Rattus norvegicus: one gene and its partner. Each later gene encodes a partner of the first gene's protein in a complex. Links are inferred from orthologs where the notes say so. Each region holds a gene or a part of one and is shown in the gene's direction. Other genes may lie near its edges. The genes, in order: Amhr2 and Amh.

What was found.
Region 2: the proteins of Amhr2 (region 1) and Amh are in contact, whole or in part, in a crystal structure (PDB 7L0J), measured with the Homo sapiens proteins. The link is inferred for Rattus norvegicus from reciprocal best matches to the Homo sapiens genes AMHR2 and AMH. Residues at the interface, in NP_065434.1 of Homo sapiens: Gly31, Val32, Arg33, Gly34, Ser35, Thr36, Thr38, Leu39, Phe62, Ile64, Glu75, Met76, Arg80, Asp81, Ser82, Glu84, Pro85, Ser95, Arg97, Ala98, Pro100, Ser101, Leu106, Thr108; in NP_000470.3 of Homo sapiens: Leu471, Arg472, Glu474, Val477, Leu478, Ile479, Pro480, Glu481, Thr482, Tyr483, Gln484, Lys534, Leu535, Ile537, Leu539, Glu542, Arg543, Ile544, Ser545, Ala546.

The regions. Positions count from the first base shown.
Region 1 is NC_086025.1:135,456,417-135,461,013, forward strand, and holds the start of Amhr2 (anti-Muellerian hormone type-2 receptor precursor), read left to right. Parts: upstream 1-1,505; 5' UTR 1,506-1,630; exon of another isoform or gene 1,631-1,896; 5' UTR 1,897-1,956; coding exon 1,957-2,005; intron 2,006-2,283; coding exon 2,284-2,466; intron 2,467-2,664; coding exon 2,665-2,856; intron 2,857-3,112; coding exon 3,113-3,184; intron 3,185-3,377; coding exon 3,378-3,496; intron 3,497-3,610; coding exon 3,611-3,841; intron 3,842-4,597. UniProt on the Homo sapiens protein: On ligand binding, forms a receptor complex consisting of two type II and two type I transmembrane serine/threonine kinases.
Region 2 is NC_086025.1:9,556,854-9,561,303, reverse strand, and holds Amh (muellerian-inhibiting factor precursor), read left to right. Parts: upstream 1-1,436; 5' UTR 1,437-1,444; coding exon 1,445-1,844; intron 1,845-2,177; coding exon 2,178-2,320; intron 2,321-2,487; coding exon 2,488-2,596; intron 2,597-2,683; coding exon 2,684-2,843; intron 2,844-2,943; coding exon 2,944-3,793; 3' UTR 3,794-3,853; downstream 3,854-4,450. Other genes in the region: Sf3a2 (splicing factor 3A subunit 2), read left to right, coding at 66-134, 212-1,012. UniProt on the Homo sapiens protein: Plays an important role in several reproductive functions. Induces Muellerian duct regression during male fetal sexual differentiation. Also plays a role in Leydig cell differentiation and function.

The DNA.
Region 1 (4,597 bases):
GCGGCGGAAGCCACCCTGTCTCACAGCTATTGCCTCCTCTCACACGTGCTCCCCAGGAGAAAGGCCCCGCCCACTATGAGCTGGTACGGTCACCTGTGATCTAAGTTAGGTCATCCTGAGAAAGGCAGCCAGAACAGAACGGGGTCAGAAGCGTGAACGGGGAACTAGTCCTCTTTAACCAGCTCTTTGAAGCCAGCTACTCACAGGTGTGGACATGATAACCCATGACTGGTTTCTAACTCTGGGGAAAATGAGTCTGCATGCCTCACTCTACGGCAACACAAGCCACAGACCCTTTGTTCATGTGGACTTGCCCTCTTACACACCCTGTGGCCTTTCTTTATATTTTATAGTACTCCAGTTTAGGACGTTTTGGAAGCGTGATGTAAATATTAGTCACCTGAGGAGGTCCTCTTGCCAGGGACAAATTTCTTCTATGCCTGCTGACCTCTGGTGGTGAGATTTTGAACTGTAGGTTCCCTTCCCAGTTGTTGGCCGGTTGGCAAACATGCTATCTGGTACACACTTCTCAGCAATCCCAATTCAAATGTTGAAATTCTGTAGACAGTGAAAGTGTTTTTGTTTGTTTGTTTTTGTTTTTTTGTTTGTTTTTGTTTTTGAGACATAGTATATGTAGCCCTGGCTGTCCTAGAATTTGCCATTAACCAGGCTGGCCTTGAACTCAGATCCATCTGCCTCTCTAAGTGCTGGGGTTAAAGGCCTGCACCATGCCCACTATGGAAACATTTTTTAAAATATTTATTTATTTATTTATTTATTACGTATACATCATACAGCTTTCTGCCTGCTTGTACGCCTGCAGACCAGAAGATGACACCAGATCTCTTTACAGATAGTTGTGAGCCACCAGGTGGTTGCTGGGAATTGAACTTAGGACCTATGGAAGAGCGGTCAGTGCTCTTAACCATTAAGCCATCTCTCCAGAGAGAGAAACATTTCTTTAGCCTCTGAAGTTTGCATTTGTTTTAAGGCAACATTGTATAATACAGAGAACAGAGTGTGGGATTTGGAGTCATACATACCCAGGATAAAATCTCACTCTGCTTTTTTTTTTTAATATTTATTTATTTATTTAGTGTATATGAGTACACTGTAGCTGTCTTAGACACACATCAGATCTCATTACAGATGGTTGTGAGCCACCATGTGGTTGCTGGGAATTGAACTCAGGACCTCTGGAAGAGCAGTCAGTGCTCTTAACTGTTGAGCCATCTCTCCAGCCCAGGAGCATGTGTTCTTATTTTATTTCATTTGCTTGGGTGTTTGACATCACATGCACGCCTGTGCCCATAAAGGCCAGAAGAGGACATCAAATCTTTTGGAACCATAGTTACAAACAGTTGTGAGCTGCCATGTGGGTAAACCAAACATGATTCTTCCACGAGGGCTCCAAGTGCTTTTGATCACTGTGGCATCTCACCAGGTCTTCTCTGAAAAATTTCACATCCTTTCTGATTTTTGAGTTTGAAAAATGAGATCAACTTTGTGAAGTCTTCTCTGTTCAGGATGCTACAAATGAGTTCTCAATCCATGGGAACCATCTTGGGCAGAGCTGAGCGCCCAAAATATCTTTCTGAAAAAGACGGAAGGTCCAGCACCTTCTTCCAAGGTCAGTAAGGGATAGAGATTTCAGAATTAATTATCACAGGGTTCTCAGCAGGACAGCCAAGGTCCCTTCCTCCCTGCTCTGCAGAGAAGAGAGGAGGTAGTTGAAGAGAGAGATTGGTTCTCTGCTCCTCCCTTTTTCTCCCTGTTTTCCTCACACCCACCTCTCCCCCACAGCAGCCTTCTCCCCCACAGAGACTGGGATAGGGCAGAGGGGGGCGGAGTTGGGGATTGAGGGCTTGGAAGCCCCACAGTGCCCTGTATTTGTAGGAAGCGTTGACGAGGGTAGCTGTGCTGGTGTGTGCTGTCCTGCTGACATCCTTTAGTAGGATGCTGGGGACACTGGGGCTTTGGACACTGCTTCCTGCAGCTGCACAAGGTAAGTGTCTACAGAGAGGGGCAGGGTCTTTACACCACTCAGTAAGGGAAAGGTGTACTTGAAGCAGCAGCCACCCATTTGAAAGAGGCCAGGGGGCTGGGAGGAAAGGCAGAGCCCAGGTTCCCATGGTGGGGCTTAGAGCTCAGGCCTCTGCTGAGCCAGTGTCCTGTGGCTCTGCTGTACTGACCTGGGATCTAGACATCATGTTTTGTCTATGCTTGACTGCTATTTGTCCTTGCCTTCACTCCCTTCTTGACTCCCTTCACCTTGGGCTTCAGTATCCCCAAACAGGAGGACCTGTGTGTTCTTTGAGGCTCCTGGAGTTCGGGGAAGCACAAAAACACTGGGGGAAGTGGTAGATGCAGGACCAGGCCCCCCGAAGGGTATCCGCTGCCTCTACAGCCATTGCTGCTTTGGGATCTGGAATCTGACCCATGGCCGGGCACAAGTGGAGATGCAAGGTGAATGACAAAACACGTGGTGGGCGAGAGGCATGTCTAGGTTAAGGGAGGCAGCCAAAAGGAAGGGGAGAAGTGGAATGTGTAGAGGGGGGAAAAGGCATGTCAGATGCCTTTGACAGAGCCCGGATTTGTTCTCTGTCCCCAAACCTTATGGAACTCTCTTTCCTTTCCCTCCTTCCCCTAACCCCACCCCTTCAGGATGCCTAGACAGTGATGAACCCGGCTGTGAGTCCCTCCACTGTGACCCCGTCCCCCGAGCGCACCCCAGCCCCAGCTCCACACTCTTCACATGCTCCTGCGGTACCGACTTCTGCAATGCCAACTACAGCCATCTGCCTCCTTCAGGAAACCGAGGGGCTCCCGGCCCCCAGGAGCCTCAGGCTACCCCAGGTAATTGCCTTCCCCAGGTTACTAGAGCCCACTGGGGAGCAGAAGCATAGGTCAGGGTGAGAACCGGGGCCAGTTCTCACCCCACCTCCGCCCAAACTTTCCCTCCTCCTGGCCTTGGAAAGTTGGTTGCCCTGGTGACTGGGAGATAAGGGGGCTTGCGACCAGCATGGGGGTGGATTGGAAAGTAATCTCTTTGAAGAGGGGAGAGGTTCAGTGCTCACCCCCGTGTGCCGTGCCATCTTCCCTTGCTGTCCAGGTGGGCCCATCTGGATGGCGCAGCTGCTGCTGGGAGTGTTCCTTGTGCTGCTGCTGAGTATCATCATCTTGGGTACCGACCTCTCCCACCCCTCCCTTGTGATAGCATGACACTTGCCCAAAGGGCCAAGCCTCCTCTGGGCCCTGCTGAGCCCCCAGGTCTGGGATTTTCTTTTACATTTCCTTGCAAGATGCTCTCTTCCCACATAGCTCCCCTGGCTGTCTCCATCCTGTGCACCCTACCCTAAGACTCTTCTCTACTTCAGCCCTGTTACAACGAAAAGCCTGTAGAGTGCAAGGTGGGTCAGACCCGGAGCCGGAGCCAGGCTCAGGAGGAGACTGCAGTGAGGAACTGCCCGAGTTGGCTGAGCTGCGCTTCTCCCAGGTGCTCCAGGGAAGGAGGGTGGGCTCTTTTGGCACTCCTGGAGGTTCTGCTGGGGAGGAAGGCTGGCCCTGGCGCTAGCTCTGAGGCCCACACTCAATGCAGTGTCTCTACCAGGTAATCCAGGAAGGAGGTCATGCAGTCGTCTGGGCTGGGAGGCTCCAGGGTGAGATGGTAGCCATCAAGGCCTTCCCCCCAAGGGCTGTGGCCCAGTTCCGAGCTGAGCGAGCTGTGTACCAGCTGCTAGGCCTACAGCATAACCACATTGTTCGCTTTATCACTGCTGGCCAGGGAGGCCCTGGCCCCTTGCCCTCTGGGCCTTTGCTGGTACTGGAACTGTACCCTAAGGTGAGCATCAAGAAATCTCTGTAGTCTATATTATGCACTACTCCTATGGGGCGCTACATGACCACTGGGCCTTACTCATGCCTACTCTCCTGCCTTATACTTTCTTTTGAATACACACACACACACACACACACACACACACACACACACACACACACACCATTCTTTTTTTTTTTTTTTTGGTTCTTTTTTTTCGGAGCTGGGGACCGAACCCAGGGCCTTGAGCTTCCTGGGTAAGCGCTCTACCACTTGAGCTAAATCCCCAACCCCCACACACACCATTCTTGAGACAGTTTCTCAGTGTAGCCTTGGCTGTCTGTCTTGGAACTTGTGCTGTAGACCAGGCTGTCCTTGAACACACAGAGATCTGCCTGCCTCTGCCTCCCACGCACTGGGATTAAAAGCTTGTGCCACTCCTGCCTGGCTAGAAGAGGGCCATTGTTAAGTACACATCCAGGAATAGCTTTGTAAACTCATTCATATGTTCATTTAACCAATATTTATAAACTATGTGGCAAGCACTTCTAGATGCCGAGAGAAGCCCACATGGCCCCTGGTTTTACAGGCGTCATAGACTAATGGGTCATAGAAAAGGAAGTCGCAAATGTCAAGTATGGTGTGCTGAGAGCTGGGACAGGGCACTGGGAACAGTAAGAAATAATAATGATACAATTCAACCTGAGGGACGGTCGAGATGGCTCAGCTGGTGAAGATGCTTACTTACTGTGCAAGCCTTGGGGACCAAAGTTCAGTTCC
Region 2 (4,450 bases), about 130 Mb from region 1:
GAGCAGGGCAGCTAGATCCAGCCCTTCCCTGGGGTGCTGCAGCCTCTGCCTCCCTCCCTCCCTAGGTGCCGAGCCGCGAGATCGACAAGGCTGAGGGCAAGTTTTGGACCCACTGGAACCGAGAGACCAAGCAGGTGAGGCTCCGAAGGCCCTGCATGGGTATCCCCCGGCCCCACGCCCTGCCCAGTCACTGACACACCCTCCTCTGCAGTTTTTTCTTCAGTTCCACTTTAAGATGGAGAAGCCCCCAGCCCCTCCCAGCCTCCCAGCAGGACCCCCAGGCGTCAAGCGGCCCCCGCCCCCACTCATGAACGGACTACCTCCTCGCCCACCACTCCCTGATGCCTTGCCCCCACCTCCACCTGGTGGCCTGCCTCTTCCTCCTATGCCCCCCACTGGGCCTGCTCCCTCTGGGCCCCCTGGACCTCCCCAGATGCCCCCACCAGCTCCTGGGGTACACCCCCCAGCCCCAGTAGTACACCCACCAACATCTGGGGTCCATCCCCCAGCTCCTGGGGTGCACCCCCCAGCCCCAGTGGTTCATCCACCAACATCTGGGGTCCATCCCCCAGCTCCTGGGGTCCATCCTCCAGCCCCTGGAGTGCACCCTCCAGCCCCTGGAGTGCACCCACCAGCCCCTGGGGTGCACCCCCCAGCTCCAGGGGTCCACCCCCCAGCTCCAGGGGTCCACCCCCCAGCTCCAGGGGTCCACCCCCCAGCTCCAGGGGTCCACCCTCCTCCATCAGCTGGAGTTCATCCTCAGGCTCCAGGGGTGCATCCACCTGCTCCTGCAGTCCACCCTCAAGCCCCTGGTGTACACCCCCCAGCTCCTGGGATCCACCCTCAGGCACCAGGGGTGCACCCCCAGCCTCCTCCTGGAGTCCACCCTGCTGCCCCAGGGGTCCATCCTCAGCCTCCAGGGGTTCACCCTACTCCTATGCCCCCCATGCTAAGGCCCCCCCTTCCCTCGGATGGCCCTGGGAACATGCCTCCGCCTCCCCCAGGCAACTGAGTAGCCCGCCACCAGCCTCTGTGCTCTGTGTGCTCTTTTCCCATGGCCAGTCCTTGGGAGGTTTTCTATTTTGTCCTGTCCTAAGTCAATTAAACAGCCTCCCCCATGTCTCCCTGTCTGCAGTGTGTGTTTTTGGTAGTGGGGTTGGGTGGGTACTGCTTGTCTCTATGGAAGGCGTGGTGACCTGGGGGATCGTCCAGGTGGGCTCCCCAGGCAGATGGGAACGACCCAAGGACACCTCGGCCTCTGCAGTTGGGGGCTGGCTCTGAGGACAGAAAGCCTTTTGAGACAGCCGCCTCCCACCTGATGGGCATGCAAAGCGCAGCCAGGCACTGTCCCCAAGGTCACCTCAGGGGTTGATAGAGGTGTCCCTCCCAAGCACTCTGGCTCGAATGCATATAAGCAGGACCACCCAGACCCTGCCATGCCACCATGCAGGGGCCACACCTCTCTCTGCTGCTGCTGCTGCTAGCGACTATGGGGGCTGTGTTACAGGCTGACACAGTTGAAGAACTGACCAATACCAGGGGCCTCATCTTCCTTGAAGATGGGGTCTGGCCTCCCAGCAGTCCCCCTGAGCCTTTGTGCCTGGTGGCGGTGAGAGGGGAAGGGGACACAAGCAAGGCTTCCCTGACGGTGGTGGGGGGCCTGCACAGCTATGAGCATGCCTTCCTGGAGGCTGTCCAAGAGTCTCGCTGGGGACCTCAAGACCTAGCCACCTTCGGAGTCTGCAGTACTGACTCCCAGACTACCCTGCCTGCCCTTCAGCGCCTCGGGGCCTGGCTCGGAGAGACTGGGGAACAGCAGTTGCTAGTCCTACATCTGGCTGAAGGTACGTGAAGGACAACATCTCAACACCCTTGTTGCCTTGGGACTAACGGAGGCTCCTCCCAAGGTTTGGGCGGGACCTGTGGAGTGTGGGGGGAAATCCCTAACTTGGTTGCCAAACAGAACCTTGTGGGACACACCTTGTGGGAGCCGTAGTCTGCAAGATGGCAGAACATCCCATGGTCACACCTTCCCAGACAGAAGAGCTGTCACGTCCCTATCTATAAGCAAGGTCTTCATACATGACCCCAGAAGATCCCCGGTTAGAGTCTGACTGAGGGACTTGAGGGACAGATGCTAATGGCCTCAGAGACTCAGCTGTCACCAATATTTGCAGTGATATGGGAGCCTCAGCTCTTGCTGAAGTTCCAAGAGCCTCCACCTGGGGGAGCCAGCCGCTGGGAGCAAGCCCTGTTAGTGCTATACCCTGGACCTGGGCCCCAGGTCACAGTCACAGGAGCTGGACTGCAGGGCACACAGGTACCAGAGACTGGCGTGGGTCCTCTGGTTGGGGGTTGGGGGAGAAGTTGTGCCAGATGGGAGGATTCCTGGGGTGAGGAGTACACCTTGGAGTCTATTCCCAGTCTGGCAGGGGGTGGTGCCTGACCACTTCCCCAGTCCAGTCCAGTGAGTTCCTGTATCCACAGAGCCTCTGCCCTACTCGGGACACCCGCTATTTGGTGCTGACTGTGCACTTTCCAGCGGGGGCCTGGAGCGGCTCGGGGCTCGCCCTAACCCTTCAACCAAGCAAAGAAGGTAGGTCCTGGCAGAGAGGAGGGGACAGTGTGGAAGGAGGCTGCCCTTAGCCCTTGCCCTCAGCCAGCACGCGCCCACCCTCTACAGGTGCCACCCTGACCATCGCTCAGCTGCAGGCCTTTCTGTTTGGCTCTGATTCCCGCTGTTTCACGCGGATGACTCCCACCCTAGTGCTGCTGCCACCCACCGGGCCGACACCGCAGCCAGCACATGGCCAGCTGGACACCGTGCCTTTCCCGCAGCCTGGGTGCGCGCAAGGACGGAGGAGGAAATGGGGAGGTGGGAATGGGTAGAGGGTCCACCACAGCCTCTTGTGCTCACAGCTGGCCCACTTCGTTCTATTCCAGGCTGTCCCTGGAGCCTGAGGACCTGCCACACAGTGCTGACCCCTTCCTAGAGACCCTCACTCGCTTGGTTCGTGCTCTGCGGGGACCTCTGACCCGGGCCTCGAACACTCGTCTGGCCCTGGACCCTGGTGCGCTGGCCAGCTTCCCACAGGGCCTGGTCAACCTTTCAGACCCCGTGGCGCTGGGACGTCTGCTCGATGGGGAGGAACCCCTATTACTGCTGCTGTCACCCGCTGCGGCCACTGTGGGGGAACCTATGCGGCTGCACAGCCCCACATCTGCTCCCTGGGCAGCAGGCCTGGCACGCAGGGTAGCGGTAGAGCTGCAGGCAGCGGCCTCGGAGCTGCGGGACCTCCCAGGCCTGCCACCCACAGCCCCCCCATTGCTGTCGCGCCTACTGGCGCTGTGCCCCAACGACTCCCGCAGCGCCGGGGACCCGCTGCGAGCGCTGCTGCTGCTGAAGGCACTGCAGGGCCTGCGTGCAGAGTGGCGAGGGCGGGAAGGGCGCGGGAGGGCGGGGCGCAGCAAGGGGACAGGGACAGATGGGCTGTGCGCGCTGCGCGAGCTGAGCGTGGACCTTCGAGCAGAGCGCTCAGTGCTCATCCCGGAGACCTACCAAGCCAACAACTGCCAAGGCGCCTGTGCATGGCCACAGTCGGACCGTAACCCACGGTACGGGAACCACGTGGTGCTGCTGCTAAAAATGCAGGCACGCGGGGCCGCCCTGGGTCGCCTGCCCTGCTGTGTGCCCACTGCCTACACCGGCAAGCTGCTCATCAGCCTGTCGGAGGAGCACATCAGCGCGCACCACGTGCCCAACATGGTGGCTACCGAATGCGGCTGCCGGTGATGTCCGCCCTACCCCATCCCCCGTGTCCCCAGTCAGCGCCCCAATAAAGATTAGCAAGCACTCAGCTGGGGTGTCTGTGGGCGGAGAGAACTCCTGACAACCTCCCTTCGCGAATGCAAGGCGTGAGTCCTTCCCATACACCCGGTACTCCCCTATGGGAGAGCTTTCGGTCCCTACCGCTTTTCTGTGTAGCCCTGGCTGTCCTGGGACTCTCTCTGTAGACCAGGCTGGCCTCGAACTCAGAGATCTGCTTGCCTCTGCCTCCCCAGTGCTGGGACTAAACTCCTGGACCTTTTTAAATTAATTTGTATGTGTGGCGGGGAGAGAAGTGTCTGGCCAGAAGGAAATTGAGGCAGGAGAAATGCTTCGAGTCAGCCTGAACTACAGAGCAAAACTCTTTCAGAAAACAAAAACAAGGGAGCTGGAGAAGTGGCTCAGCAGCAAAGCACACTTGCACATCCTAACATGCATGTGCGTGGTCTTTAAAAGCAAAACCAAAAGGCCAAGTGTAGTGGCGCACGCCTGTCATCCCGGCGCTCTGGAGGAGGAGACCGGTCAAGACTTAAAACCCAGCCTGGTTGCACGTCCTAATGCAGTCACAAAGTGTACAGATGAGGTCAGAGGGCAGAACTAAGCCGAGTTCTTTCTCTCCCTCCA